3 linked regions of the Drosophila melanogaster genome follow. The protein of the gene in region 1 interacts with the protein of each later gene in a pairwise test. Each region holds a gene or a part of one and is shown in the gene's direction. Other genes may lie near its edges.

Evidence for each region.
Region 2: the proteins of Ssl2 (region 1) and Creld interact in a two-hybrid assay, tested with the Drosophila melanogaster proteins (one large-scale study listed by BioGRID).
Region 3: the proteins of Ssl2 (region 1) and mRpL28 interact in a two-hybrid assay, tested with the Drosophila melanogaster proteins (one large-scale study listed by BioGRID).

Annotation. Positions count from the first base shown.
Region 1 is NT_033777.3:29,030,451-29,034,711, reverse strand, and holds Ssl2 (strictosidine synthase-like 2), read left to right. Parts: upstream 1-2,069; 5' UTR 2,070-2,178; coding exon 2,179-2,294; exon of another isoform or gene 2,295-2,354; coding exon 2,355-2,563; exon of another isoform or gene 2,564-2,618; coding exon 2,619-2,907; exon of another isoform or gene 2,908-2,965; coding exon 2,966-3,596; 3' UTR 3,597-3,761; downstream 3,762-4,261. Other genes in the region: Cpsf100 (cleavage and polyadenylation specificity factor 100), read right to left, coding at 1-49; beta4GalNAcTB (beta1,4-N-acetylgalactosaminyltransferase B), read left to right, coding at 793-1,764.
Region 2 is NT_033779.5:100,401-104,793, forward strand, and holds Creld (cysteine rich with EGF like domains), read left to right. Parts: upstream 1-1,979; 5' UTR 1,980-2,058; coding exon 2,059-2,506; intron 2,507-2,605; coding exon 2,606-3,034; intron 3,035-3,115; coding exon 3,116-3,363; 3' UTR 3,364-3,477; coding exon of another isoform or gene 3,478-3,536; 3' UTR 3,537-3,742; downstream 3,743-4,393. Other genes in the region: Zir (Zizimin-related), read left to right, coding at 1-116, 172-303, 362-542, 616-794, 849-1,219, 1,476-1,518; Nhe1 (Na[+]/H[+] hydrogen exchanger 1), read right to left, coding at 4,073-4,393.
Region 3 is NT_033779.5:4,972,249-4,975,868, forward strand, and holds mRpL28 (mitochondrial ribosomal protein L28), read left to right. Parts: upstream 1-1,727; 5' UTR 1,728-1,888; coding exon 1,889-1,909; intron 1,910-2,028; coding exon 2,029-2,852; intron 2,853-2,904; coding exon 2,905-2,968; 3' UTR 2,969-3,068; downstream 3,069-3,620. Other genes in the region: CG14043 (uncharacterized protein), read left to right, coding at 1-1,366; Gmd (GDP-mannose 4,6-dehydratase), read right to left, coding at 3,331-3,620.

The DNA of each region.
Region 1 (4,261 bases):
ACTCGTCCATCGCCCCAGATATAGTGTGCAGCTTGATAATGGAGGTCATTTTTGCCAATTAAACCACCGGTGCATTTGTTTAAGAAATTGTAAAAGGAAACCAAGAGTTCTTCGCCGGTTCAGGGATGGGAAACTGTCACGGCGTTGCCAGAGTGCTGTTGCTTTGTTTATACAGTACGTACTTGTTGAGCGAACAGTACAACCCGATAATAAACAAAGATTGACATTTTAAATGTTATAAATTAAAAACTTTGATTATGTCTCTCATGTATTAACCATACATACATATGGCTACAACCTTCTTCAGTTCAATTACCTTCTCTTTAATGAGTCAACATTTATAACTATGCATCCTTATCAATAGAAGTCTCAACAATCTAGTATAAGTAAACACAACTTTTTATCAAATTATTGTTTAATTAATAAGGGTGGGGTAGAGTCATGCCGTTTTAAAGAACCATGGATGCCCAATCGGTTGCATACTTTTTATAAAAACAACTTCTTATGCTATTTTGTATTAAAGGCATCCTAAAAATTGATTTCATAAACATTTTCTTTTTGGTTAGTAGACTTTAGTTGTTCGTAAAAACCATTTAAAAAATTAATGAATATTATGTGAGAAAATAAACCAAAAAAAAAACAATTCGAGCTGGTGAAGTTTCACTGTCTGTTGGTTTATGCGTTGCGTCCCTGGTCGTCAGCTGTTATTCGCCAACCGGCCGCGAAGATTGCGTCCGAAATTAGGATGCGGAGTTTCCAAAGATCGCACTGAGTCAACTTTTCCTGCCAACAATGTTCGTGCGGCTCTGGGTCCGCAGCTTCCATAAATATGATCTTCTCATCGCCATCGGACTGATCACTCTCATCGTGTACCTGTGTCTGCCCTTCCGGTTCGCATCGCACTACGACTACATCGAGGAATCAAAGATCGAGGGGGCTCTGGTGCCGCAGGTGACCAGAAATGTCTCCCAGCAGGAAGTTTTCGAATGCACCTACTCGGAGATCATTGCCGAAAACCGGTTCGTCTACCACCTGGCCCATTACCATGACGCGGTGCAGAGGGGCGCGGAGATCCGTCCTGGCGGCGAGTTCCGTCCGGAAGGATGTCAGGCTCGCTACAGCACCGCCATCATTGTGCCGTACAGGCAGCGGGAGGAGCAGCTGCACGCCTTCCTCACGTACATGCACAATTACCTGCCGCAGCAGCTGATCCACTATCGGATTTTCCTGGTCGAACAGTTCGATCATAAGCCGTTTAACAGGGCGATGCTCTTCAACATTGGCGCCCAGGTGGCTGCGGAGTATGGATTTCCCTGCCTCATCCTTCATGACGTGGACCTCCTGCCACTGAATTCGGGTCAAATATATGCCTGCTCCGAACGTCCACGGCACATGAGCTCTGCCCTGGATCACTGGCGATTCCGACTGCCTTACCGCGGTCTTTTCGGCGGCGTGGTGGCCATCAACACCGCCCAGTACCAGCAGATCAACGGCATGTCCAATCTGTATTACGGCTGGGGCGGAGAGGACGATGACCTCTACGAGCGCCTGCAGGCCCTGAATATCGACATTTGCCGATTCGCAATGGAGTTCAGTAAGTACACCATGCTGAAGCACAAACAGGAGCAGCCGAATGCCAATCGCGTGGCACTGCTGAGATCGGCGACTCTGCGCCAGCACGCGGATGGACTCAACTCACTGGTGTACACGGAAATGGAGCGGCGAATGCACAGTTTGTTCACGCACATCCTGGTTGATACCTGAGTGCCAGTATTTGTTATTGTATTTAGCTTGTAGGCCAATCGTTTTCGTAGTCGGTATCTCGAAGTGTTTTATACTTGGCTGCACTTCGCTTCGCAACCGATTAGTTACCGCCTTAGACAATGCGTTCCGAATCGATCGTGATATCTCACTCACTAGGCTAAGAAGCTAGACGGGAATGGAGGAGTCAAAGCTGTAATTGAAGTACAATGCAGAAGCCTCAGATTAAGCGGATATCGACATGTTAAGCACGCTCTGCCTCTGCCAATAAAAATGTATTGAATTTAATCTAATGGTTTGTTGATTAACTTTAAAAGCTCCAATCAGCAGGGTACATATATATCGACCAATTCGAAATCAAACTAATCATTATGACAATACCTTGACAATTGAACTTTGTTACCGCAGTCAATAATAATGGGTTTTCTTGCTGCATTGCTTAAAACCAGCCTGTTTTTGGTCCTATTCCTGGGGTCCTTGTTTCTGCTACCTGTCTTATATCCTAGCACCACTTTCCCCTTCGAACAGTATTTGTAAGTTGTTTTTCTTCAGTTGCTATCAAGCCATATAATCTATATACGTGCGTTTCCCAGTATAAAGCCAGCTAGAGATCTGAATGGAACGCTGGAGCTGAACAATCACTTAAATGGCGCCCGGAAGTTGTGGAAAGATCAAATATTTGGACCCGAGTGCCTCATAGTACTCGAGGACAAGATTTACACAGGAATTCACAGCGGCGAGGTTATTCGACTAAACAATGAGGAGTCGGTTCAACCTATCACAAAAATAGGGCAACCTTGTGGTAACAAAGGAGTAGGGGCAACTTGTATCCATAATGCCCTTGATATTCACCGTAGATTATATATTTGACGATGAGTTGTGCGGCTATCCAGTGGGTTTAGCCCTGGACACCCAGGGAAACAATCTTATTGTATCCGATGCATACTACGGCATATGGCAAGTCGACTTGGAAACGAAGAAGAAGACTGTGCTGGTGCCGGCGGAGCAGATCCTTCCTGGCAAGGGTGCAAACCGTCGGGCTAAGCTGTTCAATTCGCTGGTAATTAGCCGCCAGGGTGACATATTCTGGACGGATTCCTTTTCAGAGGACTTTGTCTTTGCTGCGTTCGCCAACCCGTCGGGTCGGTGAGTTCGAACTAAGGAGAGATCTACCATATAAGAAGGGTTTATTGGCTTTCCTCAGACTTTTCAGGTACGATCGCGTAAAGAAGACAAACGAGGTACTGCTCGATGAGTTGTCCTTTGCCAACGGCTTGGCCTTAAGTCCCAGTGAGGATTTCATTATCCTTGCCGAAACAACGGCCATGCGGCTGAGGAGATATTATCTCAAAGGATCAAGAGCCGGTGAAAGCGAAGTGTTTGTGGAGGGTTTGCCCGGCTGCCCGGATAACCTCACTGCGGATGAAGAGGGAATCTGGGTGCCCCTGTCTGTGGCTTCAGATAGTCAGAATCCCAATTTGTTCGCCGTGTTGGCGCCCTATCCGAGGCTTAGATCTTTTTTGGCTCGTTTGGTGGCTCTAATGCGACTTCCCCTTCGAGTTCTGAACCATATATATCCAAATGACATTGCGGCTCGTCTTTTTCACTCCTTTAACGATTTGGTCATCAGGAACGCTCCCAAGCGTAGCACTGTGGTGCGTGTGGATTGGAATGGAAACATTGTGAGATCCCTGCATGGGTTTGACAGATCAGCTTCGGGCATATCCCACGTGCTGGAAGTTAAGGGTCACTTATATCTGGGATCGCCTTTCAATCACTATGTTGCCAAAGTAAAATTGCCCGAAGAGGGATTGAAGTCCGTAAAAGGAAATTAAAGGGATTAGTAAAGTCAGTACTATGGATTCAATGTGATATTTACCATTATAATTTATTATTATTTGAATGCCACCTTATTTAAAGAACCTGTCAAGCATTGTTTTTAATTAGTTTATTGCACCATGAAACTATCAAATCACATTAATATTTTGTATTTTATTAATAAAATTAAAACTCAAGGAACAAACCTTTATTTTGAATAAACAAAAATACATGACGTTAAAATAAAAGATAAATAAAACTATATATGTCTGTACAATTTCGTGTCTTAGTAATTGGATTTGCGTAGAATTACAATAAGAACTCATGCGTGAAAGTGAATTAAATATGCTTTGTAAAAAATACGTCAGAACATAGTTAGTTGGCTATTTTGTCTAGCTAATGTACTATTATATTTAACTACATGCGGTCGTTTCGTTTCACATTTGATATCGATTGCGGAATGTGGCAACGAGCAAGGGCTCAAAAGCCTTGCGTTTAAGTCTACATAATATAATTTAAAACATTACTAACAAACACGCACACATTAAGACTGACACACTCATACACTTGCACAGATTAGATTTTATGTATAAATATATGTGTCAGCGTCCAATGTATCAACACAAGTTCTAATCGAAAAAGGTAATCGAGTGATATTGCCAGCAAAAATGGTAATACCAAT
Region 2 (4,393 bases), on another chromosome or scaffold:
TGAACGAAGTGTACAAAATTCTAATACCCATATGCGAGGCTAACAGAGATTTTCAAAAGCTAAGCAAAGTTCATGGCAAATTGCAGGAGGCATTTAATCGAATATCCCAACTACAGGTAACAATATTGTGTAAATTTTACCAACGGAAAATATATACATATTTATAAACAGGGTAAGAGAGTTTTTGGAACATACTTTCGTGTTGGCTTCTATGGCGGAAAATTTGGGGACTTGGATCAGCAGGAATTCATTTATAAAGAGCCAACATTGACGAAGTTGCCCGAAATATTTAGTCGGCTTCAGGTATATATTGCAAATTGGAAAAAATAGAACTAATCAATTTTGTTTCAACATACGTTAGAACTTTTACACTGAACGATTCGGACCGGACTCTGTGCATATCATTAAAGATTCCAATACCGTTGATATTAATAGCTTGGATCCCGATAAGGCTTACATTCAAATTACTTATGTTGAACCCTACTTTGAAACATATGAAATGCGTCATCGTGAGACATACTTTGAGCGGAATTTCAATATAAGTATGATATGAATTAAACAGATAATTTAAATCGAAATTTAAAATTATAATTTTAACATTTTTGGTTTATGCAGAACGTTTTATATATGCCACGCCTTTTACTAAAAATGGAAAGGCACATGGCGAACTAAATGAGCAGTGTAAACGGAAAACGATTTTGACCACGGCGAATCACTTTCCATACGTAAAAACTCGCATTATGGTAATTAGCCGACAGCAAATAGTCCTGGAACCGATTGAAGTGGCAATTGAAGTAAGTTATGTTGTAAAATCCCAAAAGTTAATAAAATTAAACGTTATTGCCTAGGATATTCAAAAAAAAACATTGGAATTGGCAGCTGCCACGAATCAAGAGCCAGCAGACCCCAAAATATTGCAAATGGTACTGCAGGGATGTATTGGAACCACTGTTAACCAAGGACCGATGGAAATGGCGAGTGTGTTCCTTTCCAATTTATCCGACGGAACAACTGTACCGACAAAACACCAAAACAAACTTCGGTTGTGCTTTCGCGAGTTTTCAAAGCGTTGTGCTGATGCTTTGAAAAAGAATCGCAATCTAATACTTTCAGATCAAAAAGATTACCAACGAGAACTGGAACGTAACAACGATCGGTTCATTGAACGATTGACTCCCTTTATTACTCTTACATCAGTTCAGAATCATGGCGTTGTCAAGTAAGTTTTTATTGTTATACAGTGAAAAGGAAAGTTACATTGTGTATACATATGTATTAAAATTCTCATGTCTTTCTTATTTTGTTCCTCAACGGAGTGCTCTAAATAATAGACATAAGATGCTTAATTAGATATTTATAGAATCCAGCCTAATATAGATATTACTTTACTATATGACTATATTAAAAACCACCAGTGCAAAAAGTAAACATTAACTTATATAATTTTTTATTTCTTTTCTAAATACATCCAATAGGGCCAACGCGTACAACAACAAAAGTACTCCTTTGAAATGGTAACTTCTTGCACACGACTTAGTCTGCAATCAAATTATCATACTTTTGGTCTTTCATGTCTAGCGTATCGGATTATTTTAAGTAAATCTTACATTTTAAATTATCGATCTCTATAATTGCTAATGTAATAGCATAACTTTTTTATGCATCTAATAGATTAAGCAAAATATTAAAAAGCGAAAAAAATAAAGTTTACACTTTTTTACTTTTACGAAAATAGTTAAAGCAACATGTTTCAAGCTACAAGGAGGTGCAGTTAAAGTGAGTGAAACAAATCGTATCCTACAGCAACAAAATTTAATTGTCGATTACCAGAAAAGGGAAGTATTCGAAAATGATAATCCTCGAATTTCGCATGGGTCGTTAACGGTTGTTAGATTGACTAAGAGTGAGCTCCGTGAGGCAATGGTATCGAACGCGACCTATCGGTATTCGCGAAACTTTCGAGTATACTATCGATGTTTTTATTTATCGATAGTGTCGGCTTTAATTACACGTAAACTCAGATAGTTTGCCGGTTAAAAAGACAATAAATAAATAAAAATGAGAATCAAGTATTGTTGGCTCGCAACGCTAGTATTCATAGCCGCTGCTTCGGCGTCATATTCTCCCGAAAAGCCTGTTCCGCCGCCCTGCAGGGCATGTACCCAGCTTGTTAGCTCTTTCAGGGCAGGACTCGAAAGGACAAAACGCGGACACGCGGGCGGGGACACGGCATGGGAGGAGGAAAAGTTGCGTTCGTACAAGAACAGCGAGGTACGGCTAGTGGAGATCCAGGAGAAGCTATGTTCGGAAGGAGAAGTGATAAACAAGGATCACTGCCACAACCTGGCTAACGAGCACGAGGCGCTTCTCGAGGACTGGTTTATCCACAAACAAACAGAGAGTCCCGACCTGCAGTCATGGCTTTGCATCGATCAGCTAACAGTCTGCTGTCCGCTGAACACCTACGGACCAGACTGCCTGACCTGCACCGAGTGCAATGGAAATGGTAAGTAATGATAACCAAGTATTACAGGCCACAACTTACATAAGTGTGTCAACTTAAGATTGCCGTCTTCGTTAATTTTACCCACATGACAAATTTCAGGAAAATGCAAAGGAGACGGAACTAGAAAGGGTAACGGAAAGTGCAAATGTGATCCCGGCTATGCGGGTCCAAACTGCAACGAATGTGGACCGGAGCACTACGAATCATTCCGTGACGAAAAGAAATTGCTGTGTACACAGTGCCATGCGGCCTGTGGGGAAGGAGGCTGCACGGGAGGTGGTCCCAAGAGCTGCCGCAAGTGTAAGAAGGGCTGGAGCATGGACTCGGAGGCAGGATGTGTCGACATTAATGAGTGCTTGGAGCAACAGCGTCCAAACCCTTGCCGACCACAGCAGTTCTGCGTGAACAATGAGGGCTCCTTTAGTTGCCTGGAGTGTGATCGATCTTGCGATGGATGCGATGGTGATGGCCCTGACATGTGCAGGAAGTGTGCGGATGGCTATGAGTTGAAGGAAGGAAAGTGTCATGGTAAGTAAGACAGAAATTTAATAAATTTGCTTTTAAGCAACGCATTGTCCACTGTATGTATTGCGCCTCCGATCATTTAAGATATTTCTGCGGAGCAACGCAGCAACTACGTAAGCTTTACGCGAATGCTCACCTACTTCGGAATGTGCGTGGCCACCTGTGTCATCTTCCAGAGCTCTACTCATATTGCCTGGGGTTGCATTGTTGGGGCGGCAGTGGCAGGGTACATTGCTGTTTCCGAGTACTGGATCAACTCGGAGGCAGGAGGCGGCCACCAACCCGAAATAGATACAAAACAGTTGGAGGAACTAATAATGAAGTCTTTATAAGTCAAAAGACATGTCAACATTGCTTTCCTTTTATGATATACACGAGCGTTTTGAAAAGCATAATCTTTTAACATTCCCCCAAGACATCTAACGATTTTTGTACTTCGTTTGCAGTCCGCAGTGATTCAAACTCCACGGTGCTCGGTGAAGAGTCCACGCACGAAGAATTGTAAAAGTAACCAAAAACGCACACCTTTTGTAGCCAATTTTACTTTAATAGGTAATATTATCAATTGATATGTAATTATAAATTAGAATTTCAAAAAGCAGGGCATGACCATATTTTTTTACACGTACCACACTTAGATATTTATTTGGTTTCAAAAATGTATAAAATCACAAATACAGCATATATTCGTATGAATAAATATTTTTAACTAAAATTACTGACGTAGTGTGCTTTTGTGACGTCCAAATTTTCATTTTGAAGACCATCTGTCGTGTGCAATGTAATACTGCTTTAAGCGGATTAATAAAGGAGCTACAGTGATACGAATGAATCATTGCATTTGGATCTTACAAAATGAAAATTTGTAAACAAAAAATATACACAAGATAACAACCATCACCGCGCTATATAAATAAAAACTCTAAAAATATTAACTAGAGGAACTTAAGCATTACATACGATCGTTCCCTTTGGCTTCTAAAGTTATCCAACACAGTCCGAAACGGATACAGAGCTCCCCCCACAACAGCCATTTAATCCCTACGACCGTGTCAAATGAATTTGACTTGTGCTGGCCGCTAGTCCTATCTCTTCGTCCGATTCATCTGAATCCAATGGACTCACTCGAATGGCTTGGTACCACTTGTTAGTCAGGTCGGCCATCTGTGACTTGCACTCGTGCAATTCCTGACTATTGAACCGACGTGTAAAAAACGGAATAAAGTACTTGCGATCCATGCGCCCAAAACGATCGCGCGCTTGAGTAAAGGTGACGTCCTCTTCCTCGGTGAGTTCAGACAAGTGTTCAGAGTCGATTGCCTGGCCCCATTCGCGAGTTTTCGATAGGGAAATAGATTTTGA
Region 3 (3,620 bases), on another chromosome or scaffold:
GGAGGCAGAAAAAATCTACGAGGACTTCAAAGCCAGTGGTCTGAAGCCCCTGGCCATTCAAGATGTGTTCAATCCTCCGGAGGAGGGACAACAATCTCACGAAGCTGGTCCCAAGGAACTGGAATCCCTGTACACGCTAGTCTCATTTTACATGGCGCAAATGTACGGGCATTTGGGTGAGCCGGAAAAGTCGGCCAAGTGCTGCCATCGCACCCTCCATCGACAGCTTGAGTCAAAAACATACGATCCCATTGATTTCGCACTGAACACCGCCACCTTGTCACAGTTCTATATTGGAGAGAAGCGCTTCGAGGAGGCCCGTCATCACCTGGCCGCTGCTACGCTCATCATGGCCGAATATGAGGTGCACATGCTGGAGCCGGAGATGAGCGAGAAGCAGCGCCAGGACGTGTCGGAGACCTTTAAACATCGCTACGCCGATGTGGCACGCTGTTGGGCCAAATATGGATTGTATTTAATGAACACATCCAAGCTTCGGCTGATGCGGGACGAAGATGACGAGGATGCCAAGAACCTGGAGATCGTTCTGCGCAATATGCGGCTGGTCGAGGCGGAACAGTCCCGGTTTCCTGGACTTGACCTCACCGCGTGTGAAAATCGTATTAGTTGTGAATACTGCCTGACCTTCGACGATGCCAAGTTGGTGTTTCATTTTGTGAACGAGTGGCTCGACATAGCCAAGGACTATTACAAGGCCGAGAACGAAGCTACTGAGTATTCAAAGATAATGCAGGATTACGCCGAAGCGTATGAGCACATTGCCTTCTTCGAGGAGAATCCAGAAAACCAGGCCAAGATGCAAAAGCGTCGCGCCAAGTATCTGGAAGATCTTTTGGATCTGCTTGACCCCATCTTTTACATGAAGATATGCCGAGAATGCTGGTATGGAGCCGGCACAGCTCATGCTGCCGTGATGGATGTCCGTCTCGACATCATTCGGGCCACTAGCACGCCAGCGCCGGAGGACATCAAGAAGGTCAATCAGAGCTGTATGAAGGCCATCAAGCACTTTGAGAGCTATGTCAAATCCTATCTGGTCAAACCGCCCAGCGAGGAATGGCGACCCAACATGGACGTGGAGGAGCAACGCCACATGCTCTACGCCCACTTCCACATCGGTCGCATCTACTACAAGCTGATCAGTGGCCATCCGCTCCAGCAGCTGGAGCACCTAACTAGTTGCCACACCTACTACCAGAGATTCGATGCTGGTTGCCAGCTGCACAAGGAGGCGGCCGAGACGCTGCAGGGCGAGATTGGTGTTGTGCGTGAAATGCTCCAGCTGTTGCCGCTCAAGATAAACACGATTAAGGCCAGGTTGAACAAGGCTGGGCTAACCGCGTGAGAATTTCCAAAAAATTAATTGCATTTGCTAAAAGCTTTATACGTAGTCAAAATAAATCGCGTTTCTTTCAAGGATATTTAATTGTTAATACATTAGTAACTTACATGTTACATTCTGATAGCGAAAGTAAGCCGCTTTTCGATTTTAATTGCCGACAGCATAAATTTATTTCTTGCTACTCGTGAATGGTACTTATGCCGGAGTATGGCTTGGCGCACTGTTTCATATATTGATTATAATAAATAAGTTGAACTACTTCGAAACTCAATTTTTTGCCGAGCATTTCTAAATTTCACAAAACTAAATTGAACGAAGCTCTGTCTCCGAAATACTTTTCAAACCTGGCAACCCTGGCTGCCAGCCATTCACATACGAACAGCTGTTTTTTCCAAACAGGAAGAGGAAGAGCGCCGTTGGCCTAGCCAAAATCAGGGAAAATATAGTTTAATAGCCAAGTTTAAACTGCCACTATAGTTTTAATAGTGAATAATAACAGTAAACTGCTAGTTCGTTCCTTAAAAAATGGCACACGCCACGCCACAGGTATGTGATTGCCTCAAAAATAAAGAGGAAACTGGTAGTGCGCCGCGTTTCTGTGACGCAATAGCTGCGTTAACTTTCGTAAACCCCATGGAATAACAAAGCGTTTAAACCTTCTGCAGGGCGTAAAGCTATTAAACGGATGGAAGCGTCCGGGTCGCTTTGACAAGGGTCTGGGAGCCCAGCTGCCCGAGGCGTACAGGAAGTTCTGGCGCGAGTGGAAGCTGACGACCCCGGCTGCGGTCCATTATATCCCCAAGGAGCAGCAGTGGGAACGAGATGAGGTGACGCACGCCATCAAGCCGGTGCAGAACATCCCGCTGCCATTGATCGATACGCCGGAATCGCACCGTGGCATCTGGGGTGGCGAGGCCGTGATCAAGGGCTTTCAGAAACGCGAGCAAACAAAGCGTCGCGTGCCGCACTTTTGGGTACCAAATCTTAGGCGTTCGGTGGTCCATAGTCATGTGCTGGACTGCTACATGTCCGTGGTGGTGACGGAACGCACGCTGGAGCAGATCCATGAATGTCATGGCTTTGATCACTACCTCCTCAAGAATCGTGCCTGCGATCTTCGCTCCGCTTTGGCTCTGAAACTCAAGCGAGAGGTGCTTCAGGCCCTGCAGAACGGTGTTCCAGCCCTCGCCGACGAGCCCGAACGCCAACAGGAAGTGCTTAAGGAATACCGCCGCTATCTGGAACCATATACGCCCGAGGAAATCGATTGGTACGGCCATACCTATTTGGAGGCCATACGCAAGCTGCAAAAGCAGCTGCGCGAAGCGGAAAAGGTGGTGCCGCATAAGTTGGAGTTCCGCGGAAAGCTTATCGAGCAGCTGCGCCAGGCGGGGATCAGCGAAGCGGGAAAGCTGGAGAAGCCGGATGCATTAGCAGCAGAATCGTCGGTCGAACACAAGGATTCGGATATCGAAGCGCTTACAAAGCTGTAAGTCACAAATACTTCTGTAATGAATTTCCTAACCAATGATTTATTCCAGGGAATCCTCCCCCTCTTCCAGTTGGCTGTCTAAAATCAATCCTTTCGGCAAGAAAGAAACCTAGAAAAGCTGTCCGCGTTTGTTTTTGATTTATGTGTTTAGCCTCGAACGAATAAACATAACTTCGGAAACATTTCGTTACAATTTGAAGGTATTAAAACGTTGTTACTCGAACGTCTTTATTTCAAATATTCGTTACATCTGGTACTGTATAAAAACAAGTAGAATCACACACTGAACATGAACGTACGCGGCAAAGTAGAAAAAGGAATGATTGCAAATCCCCACGAGAATACAGAAATACATTGACAAATCAACTACGCTGATCACTTTACGCTTAGACTATGGTTAGTGTATAGCTCCGCAAGCGGGCAGAGAGCTTTGTGCCGTAAATGATCCCAGTCCGAGCTGGAAGCCAGGTAGGCCTTAAGCGATTGGATTTTTCCTCATTAATTCGATGTCAGCCTTCATCATGTCGCTAACCAATTCCACGAAGGTAACTTTAGGCGTCCAGTTTAGCTCTCGATTGGCTTTGGACGCGTCGCCTTGCAGCAGATCGACCTCCGTCGGCCGAAAATACTTTGGATTTATGCGGACGCGCACAATACCCGTGCCGTTCTCCACTCCCACCTCGTCCACACCCTTGCCCTTCCACGTTATCTCTCGATCAATATGCTTGAACGCGGCTTCCACGAATTCGCGCACACTGTGCGTTT